2 linked regions of the Macaca fascicularis genome follow. The protein of the gene in region 1 purifies or fractionates together with the protein of each later gene. This does not show direct contact. Links are inferred from orthologs where the notes say so. Each region holds a gene or a part of one and is shown on either strand. Other genes may lie near its edges.

Region 1 (4,855 bases):
AATACAAAAATTAGCTGGGCATGGCGGTGCGCACCTGTGGTCCTGCTACTTGGGAGGCTGAGGTTAGAGGATGGCTTGAGCCCAGGAGGTTGGTGCTAGAGTGAGCTATAATCACTACTGTACTCCAGCCTGGGTAACAGAGTGAGACCCTGTCTCAATAAAAGGGGTGGGTAGTGGTGGTATCCATAATACAGCTATGCCTTAAAGTTTTTTCTGGCCGGGCGCGGTGGCTCAAGCCTGTAATCCCAGCACTTTGGGAGGCCGAGACGGGCGGATCACGAGGTCAGGAGATCGAGACCATCCTGGCTAACACGGTGAAACCCCGTCTCTACTAAAAAATACAAAAAAAAAAAAACTAGCCGGGCGAGGTGGCGGGCGCCTGTAGTCCCAGCTACTCGGGAGGCTGAGGCAGGAGAATGGCGTAAACCCGGGAGGCGGAGCTTGCAGTGAGCTGAGATCCGGCCACTGCACTCCAGCCTGGGAGACAGAGCGAGACTCCGTCTCAAAAAAAAAAAAAAAAAGTTTTTTCTTTCAAGTTCCTATGAATCATTTACCATGTGCCAGTCACTACGCTAAATGCTGTACATACGTTTAATCATTATAATTGCTTGTGTTGGGTATAATTAATCCCCTTTTACAGAAGCTGATGAAACAGCCGGGTGTGGTGGCAAGCACCTGTAGTCCTAGCTATTTGGGAGGCTGAGGTGGAAGAATCGCTTGAACCTGGGAGGAGGAGGTTGCAGTGGGCCGTGATCGCGCCACTGTGCGACGACCTGGGTGATAGAGCAAGACCCTGTCTCAAACAAAACAAAACAAAAAAACAAAAAACTGATGAGACAGGGAGAAGTAATGTGTGGAACTAGGGTTGGAACCAAGATCTGTCCGATTCCGAAATTGTGTGTGTAGAACTCTCACGGTATTCTGGCTTTTCTAGGAAATGTTTTTTAGGCAGTTATCCTAGGACACGCCTTCCTAAGAGAAAGGAGTACTGTATTCTGAACCACGGGGACCAAAGACTGTCCCCACATCTCATTTCGGTTATGATTATCTCGAAAGTCCCTCAGTTCCAGGGTGGACATTCAAGCCAAAAGGACCTATAAGGGGTCAAAGTTCAAGCACAATTTTACAAATGGGGAGGGCGAAGGGTAGCCCCAAATCACAATGAGAAGGGCAGGAGACCCACTTTGTTATTGTCTCTTTTTCCTCACAACTTCCTCTTTGTAGTTAAGAAGGGAAGCAGAAGCTGACCTTTCTGTCTTACCCCGTTTCTCACGTGGAACTGCCGCACCCAGGGTGGGTAACGTGCCCAAGGGCATATTTGCCTGTGGGCTGGCCTGCGGGAAGGTCTGTTGCCACGGAAAAGACCCACATTCTCAGCACATCCTAATCAAGTAGCTACTAAGTGGAGGGACCGCAGACTGGGTGTCACAGGGAGGGGCCTGCAGCGACCAGGCCCGTCCCAGGATGGCTGCCGAGGCCCCTGGATCCACAGTGGGGAGGGCCCCGAGAACCGGGGGACCTGGGTTCCCTTCCGGGGCACGCCTTTGGAACTGCGGCGTCCAGCCGCACAACCGTCACTATGGGGCCACGGCAATCCCTGCGCCCATCCTCGGTCCCCGCTGCCTCTGGGCTCTTTATAGGCGGGGGACACGCGCCGGCGTCACAAAGCGCCGCGACCGCGCGGGAGGCCAAGAGGCGTGGAAGCGGGAGGAAGAGGAGGAGGAGGTGGTAGTGTAGAAGAGCCAGGCACGGTGGGGGGAGGGGAGGGAGGGGCGCGCGCACGCGCGTCGGGTCGCCAGCCGCTGAGAGCCGCCCAGCTCCCGGCGTGCGCCCCTCCTCCCTCTCTCCCTCCCTCCCTCCCTCCCTGCTTCTCGGCTCCGTAGCTCCCGCGGCGCGAGGCGCTCTCGCTCTCCTCCTCCTCCTCCTCCTCCGCCGTCGCCCCTCCCCCCGCGCAGCCGCCGCCGCCACCGCCGCGAGACCCCCGCACGCCGCTCTCCCCCCACCCCCTCCAGCCCCGCGCGCCCTCCGGTCCCTACGGCCCCCGAAGAGAACGAGAGGGCGAGCGAGCGCGGCGTTCCCGGGCCGGCCCGGCCCCCTCCCTTCACCATCGCCGGCCCTCCGCCGCCTTCCTCCGCTTCCACCTCCTCTCCCCCCCCCCAAAGTTGAGGCCCCCCTCCTGGGGGGGGGAGGACCGGGACCGGGACCCGGAGCGAATTCCCCTAACTCCCTCGACCTCTCCTCTCGCCTGGCCCGAGTGTGAGGAGAAGGGCCCGGCCCGGCCCGCGTCGTGTGTGAGGAGGACCGCGGGCGGGCCCACGGGCCGTGTGGGGCCTGGTCCGGCCCGCCGGGTGTGTGAAGACCGGGGCCCGGTGCGGCCCGGCCCGAGGGCAAGCGGAGGGGAGGGGCCTGGTCCGGCCCGGCCGGTGCGTGAGGACTGGGGCCCGGGCCCGGCGCCGCCGCCGCCGCCGCCGCGATGGCCCAGCAGCAGATGACCAGCTCGCAGAAGGCCCTGATGCTCGAGCTGAAATCCCTGCAGGAGGAACCGGTGGAGGGCTTCCGGATCACCCTGGTGGACGAGTCCGACCTCTACAACTGGGAGGTGGCCATCTTCGGGCCCCCTAACACCCTCTACGAAGGCGGCTACTTCAAGGTACCCTCACCCCCGCTCCCGGACCCTGCCTCCGCGGCCGAGGCCTCCGGCTCCCCGCCGCTTTCTGCCGTTCCTGGGACCAGGAGTATGAGCACGGGCCAGTGGAGGGGGCTCCTCACCCCGGCAGCCCCCTCCCCCATCCGTGGAGGCAGGAAGGCCTTGCTCGCCGAGTGCCTTTTCTTTGTCATGGGGGCGGGGGCGCGGGCGAGGGCGGGAGGGCAGGCTGCACCGGGAAATCGGAGAGTCTCTCTCTGGTTAGGGTAGTGGCTACAGGCGCAGGAGGCCGTCTTTGTTTCCCCAGCTGAGGGCGGGTGGAAAGAGCGGTGGTCTGTCTGTGCTTTCTCGTCCTCCGGTCGGAACCCCTCCCTGCGCAGGCTGGAACTGCCCCAGAGGGCAGGGTGACCTGCACCGACTGGATTGGACTTTTCTTTTTTGGGGGGGTGGGGGTGAGGGTGGGGGAGGGGCACCAGCTTGTCATTTAAGAAGCTGCCGAGTGCCCTGACATTTTGAGGATTTGTTGGACTTCTTGGGTAGTAGTAGTGCCAACTTTGCATTCCAATGGGTGGTGGTGAAGAATGGGACCCTAGGGGTGGTTAAAAAAAAGGGGTGCCCGCGTCTTGTCATTATCCTTTTGGGGGAACTTTAACCCTCTTTCCGTTCACATTCTCTGCTTACCTCAGTCACTGGTTCTTTCAAAATGCCCTTTGTCCTCACTGTGCCACCAAGTTTGCCAGCCTTTTTTTCTACAGGTAGAAATATCCACAGAGGGTGGAACGAGTCATGTAGGGAGATTGATAGCTTCCCACTTTCAGAGACAAAATTGAAACCTTCTCAAGTGGTTAACTCTAGCTAAAGGGGTGGTCTCACAGGTGACAAGTATCTGAGGCGAGATCGCTTCTCTGGGTGGGATATATGTTTGCTTAGCGACCACAGACATTGTTTCTATTGTTTCATATGGTTTTAGAACAGTGGTTATTCTAGAATCTAATTTTTTTTTTTTTTTTAACTCCAAGGTAGTTAACCTGGAGATAATGAGTGTTTGTTTTGTTTTGTTTTTACTTGAGTGTTTTTGCAGGGAGGAATCACAGATTGAAAGTTTGAATGTTTTAAATGATGCGGGCAGAGACAGAGGAAATGAGTGCTTAGGAATCCATTTAGTTTTATTTTTTTATTTCCAAAATTAAGTAAAATAGGCCAGTGAGTCAATTTTAGTTTGGAAGGGAGGGGTTATCTTGGCACAAGTTTTAAATGAGTATCTTAGTCATGTAGTTGTGATGTGTATTTTTAGGACTACCCAATTACTTAACTCTTGTTTTCTACCCTTCTAAAGGTGGAAACCTCAGTTTTATGCTTGAAATTAGGTCAACTTTATAGGAGATGGGATTTATACAGGAATGTTTAATATTCGCTACTGTGATAGTCACTGAATACTTAGAAAAGCACGTTTTTAGAATATTATGTAAGTGCGGTACCCCTACCGACTGTTAGGCTTCATCTTTTGTGGTCAGCCTACCCTATACTTTTCAGATGGAGGTATTTAAAATTTCTAAGAAAACATGCAAGTTATTAGTAACAAAGTGGAAAGGTATTGCTGTGTTTATGTTAAGCATATTCTCTGTTGTCAGATATAAATTTTTATGCATACTGGAAAAATGAGTTGTACAAAATTGAATCTATGTGATGCCTTTCTTTCTTTTTTTTTTTTTTTTGAGACTGAGTCTTGCTCTGTCACCCTGGCTGGAGTGCAGTGGTGTGATCTTGTCTCAGTGCAACCACTGCCTCCCAGGTTCAAGCGATTCTCCTGCCTCAGCCTCCCAAGCAGCTGGGACTACAGGTGCACACCACCACGCCCAGCTAATTTTTGTATTTTAGTAGAGATGGGGTTTCACCATATTGGCCAGGCTGGTCTTGAACTCCTGACCCTGTGATCAGCCCACCTTGGCCTCCCAAAGTGCTGGGATTACAGGCGTGAGCCACCGGCCCGACCATGATGCCTTTTCTGACAAAGCATTGTTTAGCAAAATCTGCTGGCTAATGTTAGTGGAATAAAGTTTACTTTCCAAAAAATGTCATTGTTTGGTACAACCGATATTTAAAGTAAATAAATGGTTACTAGTTAGAATAATCTCACTCCAATACAGTTAAAAACAACAGAAAAAAAAAAAAAACTTGTACATGAGAGAAAATAATGGGTTGCAAATTGTA
Region 2 (4,071 bases), on another chromosome or scaffold:
AACTTTATGGTATCTTAAAGCCTAAAATGATAAAGCAAACTTAAAGAGCCGTTATAGCTTTTTTGTTATTTGCTTGCCTTTAAAAAAAAACTTTGTAATAATCTTAAACCCAATCTTTATTTTGAACGAACATTAGGCAATTTGGTTATAAACACCAAAGTTTAGTAAAGCTTATGTAAAGCTACTAGTATGTGTATTTTTTTTTAATAATCTTGAACCCTATCTTTATTTTGACCAAACATTAGTCAATTTGATTATAAACCAAAGTTAAGTTTAGTCACTTATGTAAAGCCACTAGAGTGTGTTAAGACAGTGGGGAAATGGCACGGGATAATTAAGTAGATATTGAAGGCATGTTCTTAACAAGATACAAAATGTCTAAGGTTAGTTAGATTTATTAGAAAGCAAGGAGGCTGAGGGCTGGGAAGGAAAAATGGAGGTAAACGATCCCGGCAGGAATGGATGATTCCATAATGCAGTCTTGGGAGAGAAAAATAAAGTACACTCCCATGTGTTAGGTAGGAAGCTGGGAGCTTACAGGTGAGGGAAGTCAGAGCGAGTTGGGCTGCAGCACCCTAGTCTGTTCTGAAGTGCTCTGATATTAAGTGATCCTGGGTGGAGTTGAGGTTAAAAAACTTTATGTACTGGGGGAACACTGGAAGACCACCCAGGGCATACACGGTTTTCCCACTTGAGTATACAGAGCCAAATACATTTCTAAAAGTTACCTAAAGCTTTCTTATCTGAAACATCCCATTTACTCTGAGTTGTTTTGAGCATTAGAACCAGGAGATGAGTCAACAACGTGGCAAGAATCAGCCTGCTCTGTCAGCACACCAACTTCTACCCACCTAATGGTATTATCTGATGATCCACTAACAACCAGCCGATCCCTGTACTGGAGACAGGCAATGCCTCGCTTGTGCCCATTGAGAGTACGGACAAATTCACAGGTGCTCGTGCTCCAGACCTGTATAACAAATTAACAATATTTTAAAGAATGAATGTGGAAAAGTCCTCCCACAATATACCTTTCTTAAAAAGACAGCTTCTGAGAATGACCCAAATATGTGATTATAAAATACAGTGTCCTCTAACTCAAAGTTGGGAGGCTAGAGGGCAGACTAGACAGCATAACATTTTCTTTGGCTGCTGAGTAATAACACTGGAATGAAACACGGAGGGAAGTGAAGTCTCCAGTCGTTGAGATCTTTACAAAGAGAACATCTCCTAGATGGTTTGGATATTCATTTACCTGGAGGAAAGAGTTTGGGCCAGATTTTATGTTTTTACACCAGCTGACATGTCAAACCCAATGAAGCTAATGTAATAAAAAAGCTTCCAGCTGGGTACAGTGGCTCACACCTAATCCTAGCATTTCGGGAGGCTGAGGCGGGAGAATTGCTTGAGCTCAGGAGTTTGAGACCAGCCTGGGCAACGTAGTAAAACCTCATCACTACAAAAAATAAAACTAGCTGGGCGTGGTAGTGTACATCTGTGGTCCCAGCTATTTAGGGGGCTGAGGTGCAAAGATCACTTGAGCCCAGCAGGTTGAGGCTGCAGTGAGCCGTGTTTGTGCCACTGTACTCCAGCTTGGGTGACAAAGCGAGACTTTGTCTCAAAAAACAAACAAAAAGTTTCATCTTTCATATAATCCTCTTTTCCAGCATATTTTCTTGAACAGCTCCATTTGTTTTGACACATTACTTCTAATTGTATGTATGTAGAATAAATAATCCCCTCTTTTGTGATATTATCTGAAAGACTTAGATGTTCATAGACATCTCAATGTATTATTAGACAAATAAGGAGACACACAGCAACCAGAGTGCCCTGAATTATCTTAACAGCTGCATTTGCAGCTGAATGGGATAGATAAATATATCTCCACATGTAAAAGAATGGCATTTGACATCTACCTCATACCTTAAACAAAAATCTAACTCAAAATGGATCAAGGACCTACACGTAAGCACTGAAACTATACAGTTTCAGTGTCTTGATAAATTGAACATTATCAAAATTAAAATCATTTGTGCATCAAAGGATACCATCAAAAAAGTGAAAAGGCAACCTACAGAAAGGGAGAAAATATTTTCAAATCATGTATCTCATAAGGGGCTTGTGTCCAGAATATATAAAGAACTTATAACTCAACAATAAAAAGACAAATTATCAATTTTTAAAGTGGGCAAAGGATTTATAGACATTTCTCCAGAGAAAGTACACAAATGGTCAATAAGCATACAACAAGTTGTTCAGCATCATCAGTAATAAGGGAATGCAAAGCAAAACCAGAGACACCACTGCACACTCACTAGGGCAGATAAAAGAAAAGAGACAAATAACAGCAAGTGTTGGCGAGGATATGGAGAAATCCTCCATGCTGGTATTATGAAACAGCTGTTTTGTAATAAAGCTCAGACCCTCTCAACTTTCAGGCACTGGTCTCATACCAATTGGTGTGACTGTGGGAGTAAGCTGCCACATATAAATCCTAGTTGTTTAGCTTCCCAACTATCCAGTCTAAAGCCTGATGCTACACACTTTGTGATTTGTGGGGCTAGGTGTAAGAATGCTTTCCAGTGCTGGTCATGAAAAGGATGTTCTTTGCGCAAGCTGAAACCCCCACATACCACTGGCAGGACTGTAAAACGGTGCAGTGCCTTTGGAAAACACTTTGGCAGTTCCACAAGCCTGGGCAACAAAGTGAGACCTGGTCTCTACAAAAAAAAAAAGGGCAGGGGGCGGGCCTGGTAGTGCCTGTACTCCCAGCTACGCCGGGAGGCTTAGGTGGGAGCCTCAGGGGTCCCTGAGCTGAGGGACGGCTTGAGCCCAGGAGGTCAAGGCTGAAGTGAACCATGACTGTGCCACTGCACTCCAGCCTGGGTGACAGAGTGAGATCTGTCTTCAAAAAAAAAAAAAAAGTTAAAACAGAGGGTTACCATCCTAAGAAAATTAAAAACATGAAAACTTCTACACTAATATTTATAGCAGCATCATCTGTAATAGCCGAAAAAATAGAAACAACTAAAATGTCTATCAACTAATAAACAGAAGAACAATGAAATGTTATTCAGCCACTGGAAACAACAAAGTACTGGCTGGGTGTGGTGGCTCATGCTTCTAATCCCAACACTTTGGAAGGCCGAGGAATGCTTGAGCCCAGGAGTTCAAGACTAGTCTGGGCAATATAGCAAGACCCCATCTGTACTTAAAACGACAACAACAACAACAACAAAAATGGGACAAAGCTGATAGATGCTACAAAGCACATGGATGAACCTTGAAAACATTACACTAAGCACAGAGGAGAATAAAGATCTTACCAGGTACCAGGTTGGTATAAGCCACCTCTGCTTTCTCTCTGTTCTAAAAGGGACAGGAGGAGGCTGGGTTATGACTGCAGACATACTTACTTTGATGGTCCTGTCACCAGAGGCGGACACAATGTACTTGTCGTCAAAGTCTACTACATTGACAGCAGCCCGGTGGCCAACCAGGACACGGCGTAAAGTGATATCGGTCGCAGAAGCCATGTCCCACACAGCAATGGAGCGGTCCTTGGAACAGGTCACCATCAGTCCATTGCTGAAGCGTAAGTGCAGTACGGCCTCATTGTGGTGGATCAATGTGTTAAGAACTTCACCCGTGTTCACATCCCACACCCTAGGAGAGAAGAGAAAAAGCATGATGCTTAATTACGGAGATAGCCAGGAAATGATTCTGGCATCTGAGTTCTGTCTGGGTCTGCAATGGCTTGGATATGGTTTGTCTGACTCTACCAAATCTCATGTTGAAACTGATCCTCAGGGTTGGAAGTGGGGACTGACAGGAGGTGTCTGGGTCATGGCGGTGGATCCCTCACGAATGACTTGGTGCCATTCTCATAGGAGGGAGTTCACTCTTAGTTCTGAGAGAACTGGCTGTTGACAAGAGCCTAGCAGCTCCGCCCTCTCTCTTGCTTCTCTCTCACATGTAATCTGCATACACTGGCTCGCCTTTGCCTTCTGCCATGAGGAGAAGTAGCTCGAAGCCTTCATCAGAAGCAGATGCTGGTACCATGCTTCT

The links. Proteins that work in one complex are often made in the same cells at the same time.
Region 2: the proteins of UBE2R2 (region 1) and FBXW11 purify together in Homo sapiens (affinity purification with mass spectrometry; 4 studies listed by BioGRID and IntAct, with this or other methods). This does not show direct contact. The link is inferred for Macaca fascicularis from reciprocal best matches to the Homo sapiens genes UBE2R2 and FBXW11.

What each region holds. Positions count from the first base shown.
Region 1 is NC_088389.1:65,590,003-65,594,857, reverse strand, and holds the start of UBE2R2 (ubiquitin-conjugating enzyme E2 R2), read left to right. Parts: upstream 1-1,866; 5' UTR 1,867-2,473; coding exon 2,474-2,650; intron 2,651-4,855. UniProt on the Homo sapiens protein: E2 ubiquitin-conjugating enzyme that accepts ubiquitin from an E1 ubiquitin-activating protein, and catalyzes its covalent attachment to other proteins by an E3 ubiquitin-protein ligase complex.
Region 2 is NC_088380.1:178,663,568-178,667,638, forward strand, and holds part of FBXW11 (F-box/WD repeat-containing protein 11), read right to left. Parts: intron 3,670-4,071; coding exon 3,420-3,669; intron 971-3,419; coding exon 852-970; intron 1-851.